3 linked regions of the Macaca mulatta genome follow. The protein of the gene in region 1 interacts with the protein of each later gene in a pairwise test. Links are inferred from orthologs where the notes say so. Each region holds a gene or a part of one and is shown in the gene's direction. Other genes may lie near its edges.

The links. The genes of interacting proteins can lie anywhere in the genome.
Region 2: the proteins of BCL2L13 (region 1) and TMEM86B interact in binary tests that used the Homo sapiens proteins (3 or more experiments, as listed by UniProt). The two-hybrid records come from large-scale screens. The link is inferred for Macaca mulatta from reciprocal best matches to the Homo sapiens genes BCL2L13 and TMEM86B.
Region 3: the proteins of BCL2L13 (region 1) and PLN interact in binary tests that used the Homo sapiens proteins (3 or more experiments, as listed by UniProt). The two-hybrid records come from large-scale screens. The link is inferred for Macaca mulatta from reciprocal best matches to the Homo sapiens genes BCL2L13 and PLN.

The regions. Positions count from the first base shown.
Region 1 is NC_133415.1:34,438,092-34,442,073, reverse strand, and holds the start of BCL2L13 (bcl-2-like protein 13), read left to right. Parts: upstream 1-1,182; 5' UTR 1,183-1,328; intron 1,329-3,861; exon of another isoform or gene 3,862-3,966; intron 3,967-3,982. UniProt on the Homo sapiens protein: May promote the activation of caspase-3 and apoptosis.
Region 2 is NC_133424.1:67,556,569-67,560,859, reverse strand, and holds the start of TMEM86B (lysoplasmalogenase TMEM86B), read left to right. Parts: upstream 1-1,491; 5' UTR 1,492-2,384; coding exon 2,385-2,435; intron 2,436-2,688; coding exon 2,689-2,935; intron 2,936-3,558; coding exon 3,559-3,941; 3' UTR 3,942-4,291. Other genes in the region: PPP6R1 (serine/threonine-protein phosphatase 6 regulatory subunit 1), read left to right, coding at 256-366, 447-518, 600-603. UniProt on the Homo sapiens protein: Catalyzes the hydrolysis of the vinyl ether bond of choline or ethanolamine lysoplasmalogens, forming fatty aldehyde and glycerophosphocholine or glycerophosphoethanolamine, respectively and is specific for the sn-2-deacylated (lyso) form of plasmalogen.
Region 3 is NC_133409.1:23,533,096-23,535,580, forward strand, and holds PLN (phospholamban), read left to right. Parts: upstream 1-1,139; 5' UTR 1,140-1,220; coding exon 1,221-1,379; 3' UTR 1,380-1,985; downstream 1,986-2,485. UniProt on the Homo sapiens protein: Reversibly inhibits the activity of ATP2A2/SERCA2 in cardiac sarcoplasmic reticulum by decreasing the apparent affinity of the ATPase for Ca(2+).

The DNA.
Region 1 (3,982 bases):
TTTTTGAGACGGAGTCTTGCTCTGTCACCCAGGCTGGAGTGCAGTGGCGCGATCTCGGCTCACTGCAAGCTCTGCCTCCTGGGTTTACGCCATTCTCCTGCCTCAGCCTCCCGAGTAGCTGGGACTACAGGCGCCCGCCACCTGGCCCGGCTAGTTTTTTGTATTTTTTAGTAGAGACGGGGTTTCACTGTGTTTGCCAGGATGGTCTTGATCTCCTGACCTCGTGATCCACCCGTCTCGGCCTCCCAAAGTGCTGGGATTACAGGCGTGAGCCACCGCACCCGGCCGCAGTTCAACTATTTTAAATCACTTCATTTAGAGTAGCTTTGTATGAGATATAGATCTCATACCATACAATTCACCTATAGTGTACAATTCAATAGTTTTCAGTATTTCAGAGAGTCGTGCCACCATCACCCCAAAAAGAAACCCTGTATCTACTGGCAGTCACTCCCCATCAGGACTTTATCACTTCTGATCTGGCTCAGTCTTCTCCTTGTCAATGCCCTCCTTGTTCCAGTTCAGTACACACACCACGGGCAATTTGCTCTCCCTAAAACATATTGTATTCTCTCTCCTACATACCTTCCGATACTCCTCCAAAGAACTCTTGGATTCAAGTAAACAAACATCCATTAACACAAGTATGTTCCAGGCGCTGTGCTAGGTACTGTTAACAAAAACGGGTTAGTATTGTTAGGACTTCCTTCATGCCGTGGCACTTCTGCTCAGCCAGCTCCCTTCGCCTAGGACCTCTCTATACGACCCCGCTATATCCCCTCCCCGGAATTCCTTCCCAACCTTCAAGGACCATCTGCCCCAACTAGTGGCGAACACCGCGGCTGTAGTGACTGTGTAGATACTTATTTGACCACTTGAAACTCAACACATGTTTGTGGAACTGAACATAGGCTGTGTACGCACTAAGGCTTCTTTCCCTGGAATCGCCAGCCCACCAACCAGCCGGTCAGAATCCCAATCCCTCGACTCCAGAAATTATTTGGGAGACGGAATTTCCGAACGTCAGCAATCATAGATTTGGACGGGCTAGGAGGGTTTGGGTCTTCAGGTCACATCTGCGCGGAGAGACCTCCGGCCTCGGTGGTCGGTGCTTCCGCTCCGGATACCCTTCCGGTTCTCCGGTCGCCCAGGTCCCGCCCCGACGCCGGCCGTGACGAAGGCACGCTGGGGTGACCTCACCCTCCAACATGGCGGCGGCGGTAGATTAGGGCCGCGGGTCGGAGCCTTCACCGCCGCTGGGGGACCCTGTCGGAAGCAACCGCCGCCGCCGCCTCATTCATCTCTTCTGGGGCAGGGGCCAGGGCCAGGTGAGGGGAGTGGGGTTCCGGGAAGGCTGAGCTGTGTGAGGAGGTGGTTTTCACCTGGGTAGGAAAGTGCCCAGAGACCGTATCGAGCCACCGGCTGACTCCCCAGTGGTTCCGACGACGCGTGAGTTTGAGTGTGTGTCTGCACCGGCGCTCCTTCGCCCGAAGGTGCTCGGAACTTAGGGGTCCGCTTCACCCAGACCGGACCTGGCCGCCCGGCCCCGCCGCTGAGCAGGCTTCTCCCGGCGTGGGGTGCCGGAGGCGGAGGAGCTCGGCCCTGGCTCCACGCCGCTGTCCTTCCCCACAGACAGCTTCACGTGGAAAACCCGGGTCCATTTTTAGGGCTAAACTGGGGAACGGCGACTTCTTTTTGGTTGAGGGAAAGGTTTTCCTGCGATTCCCTTAGGACACTTGAAGATTATCTTTGCCAGTCTTAGTCGTTTCTTTTCAGAGATTGTTAGAAGTCTTGTTTCTTAACCTTAATTCACTGCTGTTCTGACACCCATTCTTTTTTCGGAAAAAAAACTGCCTTCTTGCCCTTGGAGGCAATACAGTTCACATGGAGACATTTTTCCCCTTTGATTTATCCTCCCAACATTCTGTAAAGATCCTGTTTTTTGCTTTCATAACCGACTTTTTGAGTGGAGGCTCTAACCTAGCGTTGAAAATCGGACGGATCTGTCCAGTTGTTCCCATGCTGTTGACTGATAGCTTTGGTTAGCTCCCAGCCACTCCCTGCACAAGTGTTTGTTTATCCAAAATAGCTATCTCACTGTCTCTGTTTAGAAGTTGTGAACTAAGCTGACAGCCCTCTCTCCTTACTTTTATTTTGTTGTTGTTGTTGTTGTTACGTAAAACAAAACAAAAACTTCTATAGCGAAATTGTAAGATTTCCCCTGGAGGTTTAGTATAAAGCAGAATGTTGCTCTCTGCCCTGACTTGTGTGACCTTGGATGAGTTAGTTGCCACACCCTTCAGATACATTCTTTCTTTTTTTCTTTTCTTTTTTTTTGAGACAAGAGTTTCACTCTTATTGCCCAGGCTGGAGTGCAATGGCTTGATCTCGGCTTACCGCAACCTCCGCCTCCTGGGTTCAAGCGATTCTCCTTCCTCAGCCTCCGGAGTAGCTGGGATTACAGGCATGCGCCACCACGCCTGGCCCATTTTGTATTTTTAGTAGAGACGGGGTTTCACCATGTTCGTCAGGATGGTCTCGAACTCCCAACCTCCGGTCATCCACCCGCCTCGGCCTCCCGAAGTGTTGGGATTACAGGTGTGAGCCACCATGCCGGGTGATACTTTCGTTTTTACAACCCCCCCATGAAGTATTCTTTTCATTTTTAGCCCCCTGTCTCCCCCAAATGAAGCATTCTTCATTTGGTAATAGGCAGTTAAAGGTATTGAAAATCTTTTTACTCTGAATGGTCAGGTACTATTCTGTATTTTTTTTTCCAATGGCTCATTTTTTATGTGGAAGAGTATATTCAGTAGTTGGATTCACTTTTTATTTTATTTTAAGCTGTCTCCTACAGCAAGGACCAGTAGTTGAATTCAATTGAAAGATGTCTAAGGCTATATCCAACCAGTCTTGTAAAAAAACAGACTTGTGTTTACTAGCACATAATCTAATAAACATTTATTAAATATCACACACACTAAGCTTTTAGGACAAGTGGTTTGCAACAGTAATAATCATTATTAAAAGCATTTTATTTGACTGTATGCGATGGCTTATTATAATCCCAGCACTTTGGGAGGCTCAGGCAGGAGCATTGCTTGAGCCCAGGAGTTCGAGACCAGCCTGGGCAACATAAGGAGACCTTGTCTTCACAAGAAATTAAAAAAATAAAATAAAATAAAATTAGCTAGGCATAGGTCCCAGCTACTTGGAAGACTGAGGCGAGAGGGAGGGCTGCTGTGAGCTGCGATTGCTCCACTGTACTTCAGTCTGGGTGACAGAGAGAGACCCTGACTCAAAAAATATATATATATTTATTCATTAAATATACGTGTATATATATATATTTTCGAAATGGAGTATCACTCTGTCGCCTAGGCTGGAGTGCAGTGGCGCGATCTCGGCTCACTGCAAAGTCTGCCTTCTGGTTCACACCATTCTCCTGCCTCAGCCTCCCGATTAGGTGGGACTACAGGCGCCCGCCACCACGCCTGGCTAATTTTTTGTATTTTTTTAGTAGAGACTGGGTTTCACTGTGTTAGCCAGGATGGTCTTGATCTCCTGACCTCGTGATCTGTCTGCCTCGGCTCCCCAAAGTGCTGGGATTACAGGCATGAGCCACTGTGCCCGGCCTAAATATATATATATGTATATTTTATTGTGAAATACTTTAGGCATACAAAACACACGTTTTAAACATTCACTTAGTAGTTCCAGTCTGCATTTATCATTTTTCAGACAGGATTTTGATTTGTATCTTATTCCAAGTAAATGTTCACCAAGAGTTCTTGTTTAATATATATACAGAGTAGGGGTGGGTAGCATTTTCAGATTAGTTTATTTTTTTTTATTTTTCCTCCTCAGATGGTAATGTGCCAGTGAGCCCAAGAGGTAACATGGTTTGAGGGAGTCATATGTCACGCATTAGCATGAAACCCAGTTCTTTATGAACCACAAAAGGATCGGAGTAGCTGATTTT
Region 2 (4,291 bases), on another chromosome or scaffold:
GCCCCTTGGGGCTGTCTCAGCTGGCCTCGAGTGCCTCTTCCACAGGGACAGGAGGCGGGAAGAGGGTTGCTTGTCTTCCTGCCCAGGGCCATGCCATCCCTCCACGCTGAGCCAGCTGAGTCCTTGGGAGGCCCCTCCTGGTGGGGCAGGTGGCAGACACACACCCAGTGAGCCGACTGCAGTCGTCTGGGGTGTGAGGGTGTCAGCAGGTGACAGTGGGGGCCACGCTGACAGCCGCACTTTCCTCACCCACAGTGCAACCAGAGACCCCGCTACCTCTGTCCCAGCCTCCGGGGCCCACCAGCGCCCCCAGACCACAGATGGGGAGAAGAGCCCAGAGCCCTTGGGGCTTCCCCAAAGCCAGAGGTGAGCACCAGGGCAGCGGGGCGCGGCAGGGCTGGTGGGGCAGGAAGTGACCTCTGCACATCCCCTCTCTCCCGTGACAGTGCCCAGGCCCTCACGCCTCCTCCGATACCCAATGGCTCTGCCCCGGAAGGGCCTGCATCCCCAGGCTCCCAGTGAGTGTGGCTGCAGCCTGGGGCTGGGTAGGTGGGGCTGGGCCTGCTGGACCCTCACACGACGTCTCCCTCTGTTTCCAGATAGCTGCCTGGTGCGGCAGCGGCGGCCAAATCTTCCGTCCTTCCGTGGATCTCCCAGGGTGGGGGCAGGGCGGGTCCCATGATGGCCCCCAGTGCCCTCATCACCCTGAACCCCCCACATTCTCTCCTCTGGACCCCCAGGAGGCGGGTGTCAGGGAGACAGGCCCAACCCACCCCCATTTGCACTGAGAAGAGAAGTTTTGGAGCATTGCCTCCTAGAATAAAGATAAAGAGAGTCAAATAGAGAGAATGGAGAGAGAGAAACGTATATTATATATTATATATAGAGAGAGGGAGGAGAGCGAGAGAAAGTGAGGACACCAAGCTGGGCTGGCGGCTCCAAAGCACAGCCTTCCCCGTTCCGTCCCAGCGGGGGCTGGTGTTAGGGGTCCCAAGGTTGCCGCCCACGTGCCCAGCCGTCCCATGCTCCAGCGCAGATGGCCACGCCCACACCCGGCCTTTCAGCTCAGGTCCACCATGGGGGACGGCCCAGCGCAGGTGGGGGTGCCAGAGGATCCCGAGTGGGGGCCGTGCCTTTGCCCAGACCCTGCACTTTCAACCAGGCCAGTCCGGCTCTGGGGAGCAGGGGCCTCCCCGGCAACACCCCTAGGGGCCTTGAGGGTCTGGGGTCCCAGCCCTGTTGCCAAGTGGCCTTGTCCCCAGCTCCCTCCTCCAGGCTGGTGTGAGTGTGCGTGCGTTCGTGCCGAGCTTCTATTTCATATTGCAAATATAAATAAAGGAAGACAGTTTACGATTCTGCTGGTCAGACCTTACGTTCTGGGATGCGGGGTGGGGAGCCTGTTATCCCTGCACCTCAGAGGCTGGGGGTGCTTCTGACCCAGTCTGTCCCAGCACTGCGTCCTGCCAGGGGGAAGCCTGAGGCTGCAGAGGCCCCAGGCTGGGCCAGGCGCTGGCTGTGAGGGCTCCTACCAGGCCTACCCCACCTGTGGGCAGGCCTGTGGGCAGAGAATAGAAGCCACCGACGTGCTCACATCCCTGCTCCTGCCCGCACTTACCCCCAGTAACCAAGCCCAGCATTGAGGCTGGGCTCTGGCGCCCAGTAGGTCTGAGTCTTTCAGGTGGAAGGTGGAAATGTAGGCTGGGTGTGCAGCGAGTGGCACGGGTGAGCGGCGCTGGGAAACCGGAGCGTGTGGACCGGGCCATGAGGACAGTGTCCTCACTTGGATGGCAGTCGGCTTGGAGGTCACCCGGGGCTCACTCAGCTAACAGGAGAGGGTGCTTATTCGCCGCATTCATGGTGGTCCCTCCTCGTCACCCACTGAAGCAGTGTTTGTGGTGGAGCCCATGAGGGCTTGGTGGGGTTGAGCAGAATGAGGGAAGGTTTCGTGGAGCAGGGAGGGAGATGGCTAGGGCAGCAAGTGAAGGACGGACTCGCCTTCCCATCCCTCCAGGGGTGCTCCTGCCAGCCAGCCCCTCCCCCGCTTTCATGAAGGGGTGGCCGTTGGAATTCTGCACTCCATCTCTGCTGATTGGGCCCAGGACAAGGGGACGGGCATTTGTGGGCCTCACCCCCCCCAGGCAGACAGGAGGAGGAAACCGTGTCCCAGCAGGCAGGGCAGAGGGACCCCCGATGCCAACAGTGCTTTATCAGCGGGTGCCAGGCGAGGCCGTCCCCGGGGTGAGGACAGCATCTCTCCGGGCCCTGTTATCAGTCACAGAGTCCACAGGACGCTCCTCGGGTTAACGTGTAACCATGAGCCGTCCCCGCCACCCCCTGAAGCCACTCGCTCCCAGATTAGGTCGCTCTGGGGGTATCAGGCCAGCATGGACGCTGGCAAAGCGGGGCAGACCCTGAAGACTCGCTGCTCAGCCCAGGTGAGAGCCTTCCGAGGTGTGCCTGGGGCTGGGGGCCAGGCCCCTGGAACCCCAGCAGCCGGTGGGTCTGGGAGCTGCTGTCCTTGAGTTGGTTGGGACCCTGGGAAGCTGGGTTCTGGCAGCCTGGTCCCTGAATGGGTACAGCCTGTACAGCTGGGGTCCCAGGTAGGGGTGGGACAGGAGCCACAAGATCTCAGTCCCAAGAACGGGGGCTGGGCTGGGTTTCGGCTCAGCAGCTCCCCATTCCCCAAAGCGCCCAGATGTCTGCAGGTGGCTGAGCCCCTTCATCCTCTCCTGCTGCGTGTACTTCTGCCTCTGGATTCCCGAGGACCAGCCGTCCTGGGTCGCTGCCCTGGTCAAGTGCCTGCCCATCCTCGGCCTGGCCGGGTTCCTGTGGGTCGTGTGCCCGGGCGGGGGCTACAGCCGGCTCCTCCAGGGAGCCCTCTTGTGCTCGGCAGTGGGGGACGCCTGCCTCATCTGGCCTGGAGCCTTCCTCCCTGGTGAGCGGAAGCTGCCATGACGCCTTCTGGATACCCGTGTGAGGGAGGCCCCAGCACTTGGATGGGAGCCTGCGGTGCAGAGGGCTCCTGTGAGAGCTCTGGTGGTCAGAGGCACGGTGGGGGGTGCAGCCATGACCGAGGCAGCTCACGCTCCAGCGAGGGATGGGGGCTGGCGGTGTAGGGCAGTAGCTGGGGGTGGCAAGGGCAGTGAGGACCCGCTGGGGGTGTTGCAGTTTGAAGCAGGGTTGCTGAGGAAGGTGTCGCTGGGGAAGTCACATTTGGGCAGAGCAGAAGGTGCTGTGTGCCTGTGTGGGGGAAGGGCAAGTGCAAAGGCTCCGGGACGGGTGTGCCAGGTGCTTGTGGCCAGGCAGGCCAGGGTGACCGGGCAGAGTGGCTGGTGAGCCGGAGGGCATGGGGCTTTGGAGGCCAAGAGAAGATGGGGCCTCCTGTTGGTTCTGAGCAGAGCAAGGATGGACACTGCATGTGGGGAGGCCTGCAAGGAGGCTTGGCCAGGGTGGGGCCTGGTGTTTTGGGACGGCCCTTATTTTAGGCCCTGAGGGGTGACCTCGGGGCCATTCCCAGGATGGGCCTTCCTCACTGGCACCCCACCCCTCTCCCACCAGGCATGGCCGCCTTCGCCACCACCCACCTTCTCTACGTCTGGGCCTTCGGCTTCTCTCCCCTGCAGCCTGGCCTGCTGCTGCTCATCATCCTGGCCTCTGGCCCCTACCTCAGCCTTGTGCTCCAGCACCTTGAGCCGGATATGGGCCTGCCTGTGGCAGCCTATGGGCTGATCCTGATGGCCATGCTGTGGCGCGGCCTGGCCCGGGGCAGGAGTGCCGGCTGGGGCGCGCTGCTCTTCACACTCTCTGATGGCGTGCTGGCCTGGGACACCTTCGTCCAGCCCCTGCCCCATGCCCGCCTGGTGGTCATGACCACCTACTACGCTGCCCAGCTCCTCATCACACTGTCGGCCCTCAGGAGCCAGATGGCGAAGACCGACTGACTAGAGAGCTTGAAGGGCCGGTATTCAGGCGCTCTCCTCTTGCAAAGACCTGGGCCTCCCAGATCAGCCCAGCCCGAGAAATACCCTCAGCAGCGAAGCTTCCTCACGCCTGTCTGCAGGCGCCACCGCCGCCGCCGCTTCCAGCTGAAGACGTTTGAGGACCATTTGCGGAATTCCAAGTCCACTGCTGGGTTCCAGCTGCCTTCTCCAGGTTCTGACTCCAGATCCCTGGCTCCTCAGCCAGGCCCACATGTGGCCCTCCCAGCCACCAGCCCGCCTCCGTGTTCTGTGTCGGCCCCACAGTCTGCCCGCCCCCAGCTCCTGCTCTGAATCCGTTTTCCTTGTCTTAG
Region 3 (2,485 bases), on another chromosome or scaffold:
TTCCTCCCTCCTTGACTGCTGGGATTGGCTCCAGCCACCAGCACCCCAAACCAGAATAAGAGGGTTGAAAAATGAATGAACGGATGAATACAAATTATTATCAAATAAAAACTGGTAAAGTCTAGGGTGATCATACAAATGCATGACAATAAATGCTATGGCACAAAAGCACTCAGAGATCCCATTGTATTTCTCAAACATTGATTCCATGTTTTTAATTGACCAACACAACCACTGTTACTCACTGATTCACGAAATACTGGGTAATTATCTTTGTTGGCTTTTTTTTTGAGACAGAGTTTTGCTGTGTCACCCAGGCTGGAGTACAGTGGCATGATCTGGGCTCACTGCAACCCCTGCCTCCTGGGCTCCAGCGATCCTCCCAAGTAGCTAGGATTACAGGCACATGCCACCAGCCTAGCTAATTTTTATATTTTTAGTAGAGACAGGGTTTCACCATGTTGGCCAGGCTGGTCTCAAACTCCTGGCCTCAGGGGATCTGCCCGCCTTGGCCTCCCAAAGTGCTGGGATTACAGGCGTGAGCCACTGCACCCGGCCTATCTGGTTTTTATTAATCTTTCTTAAATGTACATATAATTCATATTTCTCTCAACGTTTAATATTAGAAGTGTTTGGGTCTTTATTGAGAAGTTTGGTGATGTTCTTGTGACCAGAAATGTGCTATAGGAACTTACCTCTTATTTACATCAATCAGCCTAGGGTAAAAATGGTTTTGTTATATGTTGTTTTGCATAAAGTCTTGGTTTCCAGGAACTTATGGATGACACTGAGGATTACTGCAATACTTGTAGTAAATTTGGGAGAAAAAGGCAAAGACTGAAGTTACTACTCCTAACACAAATGAGACTGTCATGTTGTGCCCCATCAAAAAAGGAGAAAGAGAGACACATGGAAACACATGCGCACACACACACACACACACACACATACACACACACACACACACACACAGAGAGAGACAGAGAGAGAGAGACTATAGAAACACTTGATGTTATAAATAACAATAGTGCTGAGGAAGATGAATTAATACAACATTGTATTTTTTGTCCTGATAATAGGTTACATATATTATTCTAATCTATTTATTATTTTTACATTCCAGGCTACCTAAAAGAAGACAGTTATCTCATATTTGGCTACCAGCTTTTTATCTTTCTCTCAATCACTTAAAACTTCAGACTTCCTCTCCTGCTGGTATCATGGAGAAAGTCCAATACCTCACTCGCTCAGCTATAAGAAGAGCCTCAACCATTGAAATGCCTCAACAAGCACGTCAAAATCTACAGAATCTATTTATCAATTTCTGTCTCATCTTAATATGTCTCTTGCTGATCTGTATCATCGTGATGCTTCTCTGAAGTTCTGCTACAACCTCTAGATCTGCAACTTGCCACATCAGCTTAAAATCTGTCATCCCATGCAGACGGGAAAACAATACTGTAAAACAGACCACTTCCTGAGTAGAAGAGTTTCTTTGTGAAAAGGTCAAGATTAAGACTAAAACTTATTGTTAGCAAATGTATTCATCTGCTGGATCTTGTAAACATGAAAAGGGCTTTATTTTCAAAAATTAACTTTAAAATAAGTGTATAAAATGTAACTGTTGATTTCCTCAACATGGCTCACAAATTTGTATCCCAAATCTTTTCTGAAGATGAAATAAGAGTTTAGTTTTGAAACTGCACTGCCAACAAGTTCACTTCATATATAAAGCATTATCTTTACTCTTTTGAGGTGAATATAACTTATATTACACTGTAAAAGCTTCTTTAATACTGTTTTTCAAGTCTTCACCAAGTATCAAAGTAATAACACAAATGAAGTGTCATTATTCAAAACAGTCCACTGACTCCTCACATCTGTTATCTTATTATAAAGAACTCTGTAGTAACTCTTTGTAGTAACATTCTAAAACAGAAATTGCATTTTTGCTATGCCACATTAACATTTTTTAAAGTTGATGAGAATCAAGTATGGAAAAGTAAGGCCATACTCTTACATAATAAAATTACTCTTAAGTAATTTTTTCAAAGAATCACAGAATTCTAGTACCTGTAGGTAAACCATAAATCTGTTCTAAGACATATGATCAACAGATGAGAACTGGGGGTTAATATGTAACAGTGAGATTAGTCATATCACTAATATACTAACAGAATAGAATCTAATCTTCATTTAAGACACTGTAGTGAATTATCTGACCTAGAGTTACCTAGTTTACCACGCTGTATCTTTTGAATCATGAAACCTTAAGACTTCAGACTGATTTTACAGGTTGTCTTCCATTCCAACCTAACATCCAATGCAGGCAAGGAAAATAATACAAGATTTCCAGTGACAAAAAAAAATATTATCTCAAGTATTTAAAAAAATAAAAATATGAATTCTCTCTCCAAATATTAACTAATTCTTAGATTATATTTTGAAATGAACTTGTTGGCCCATCTATTACATCTACAGCTGA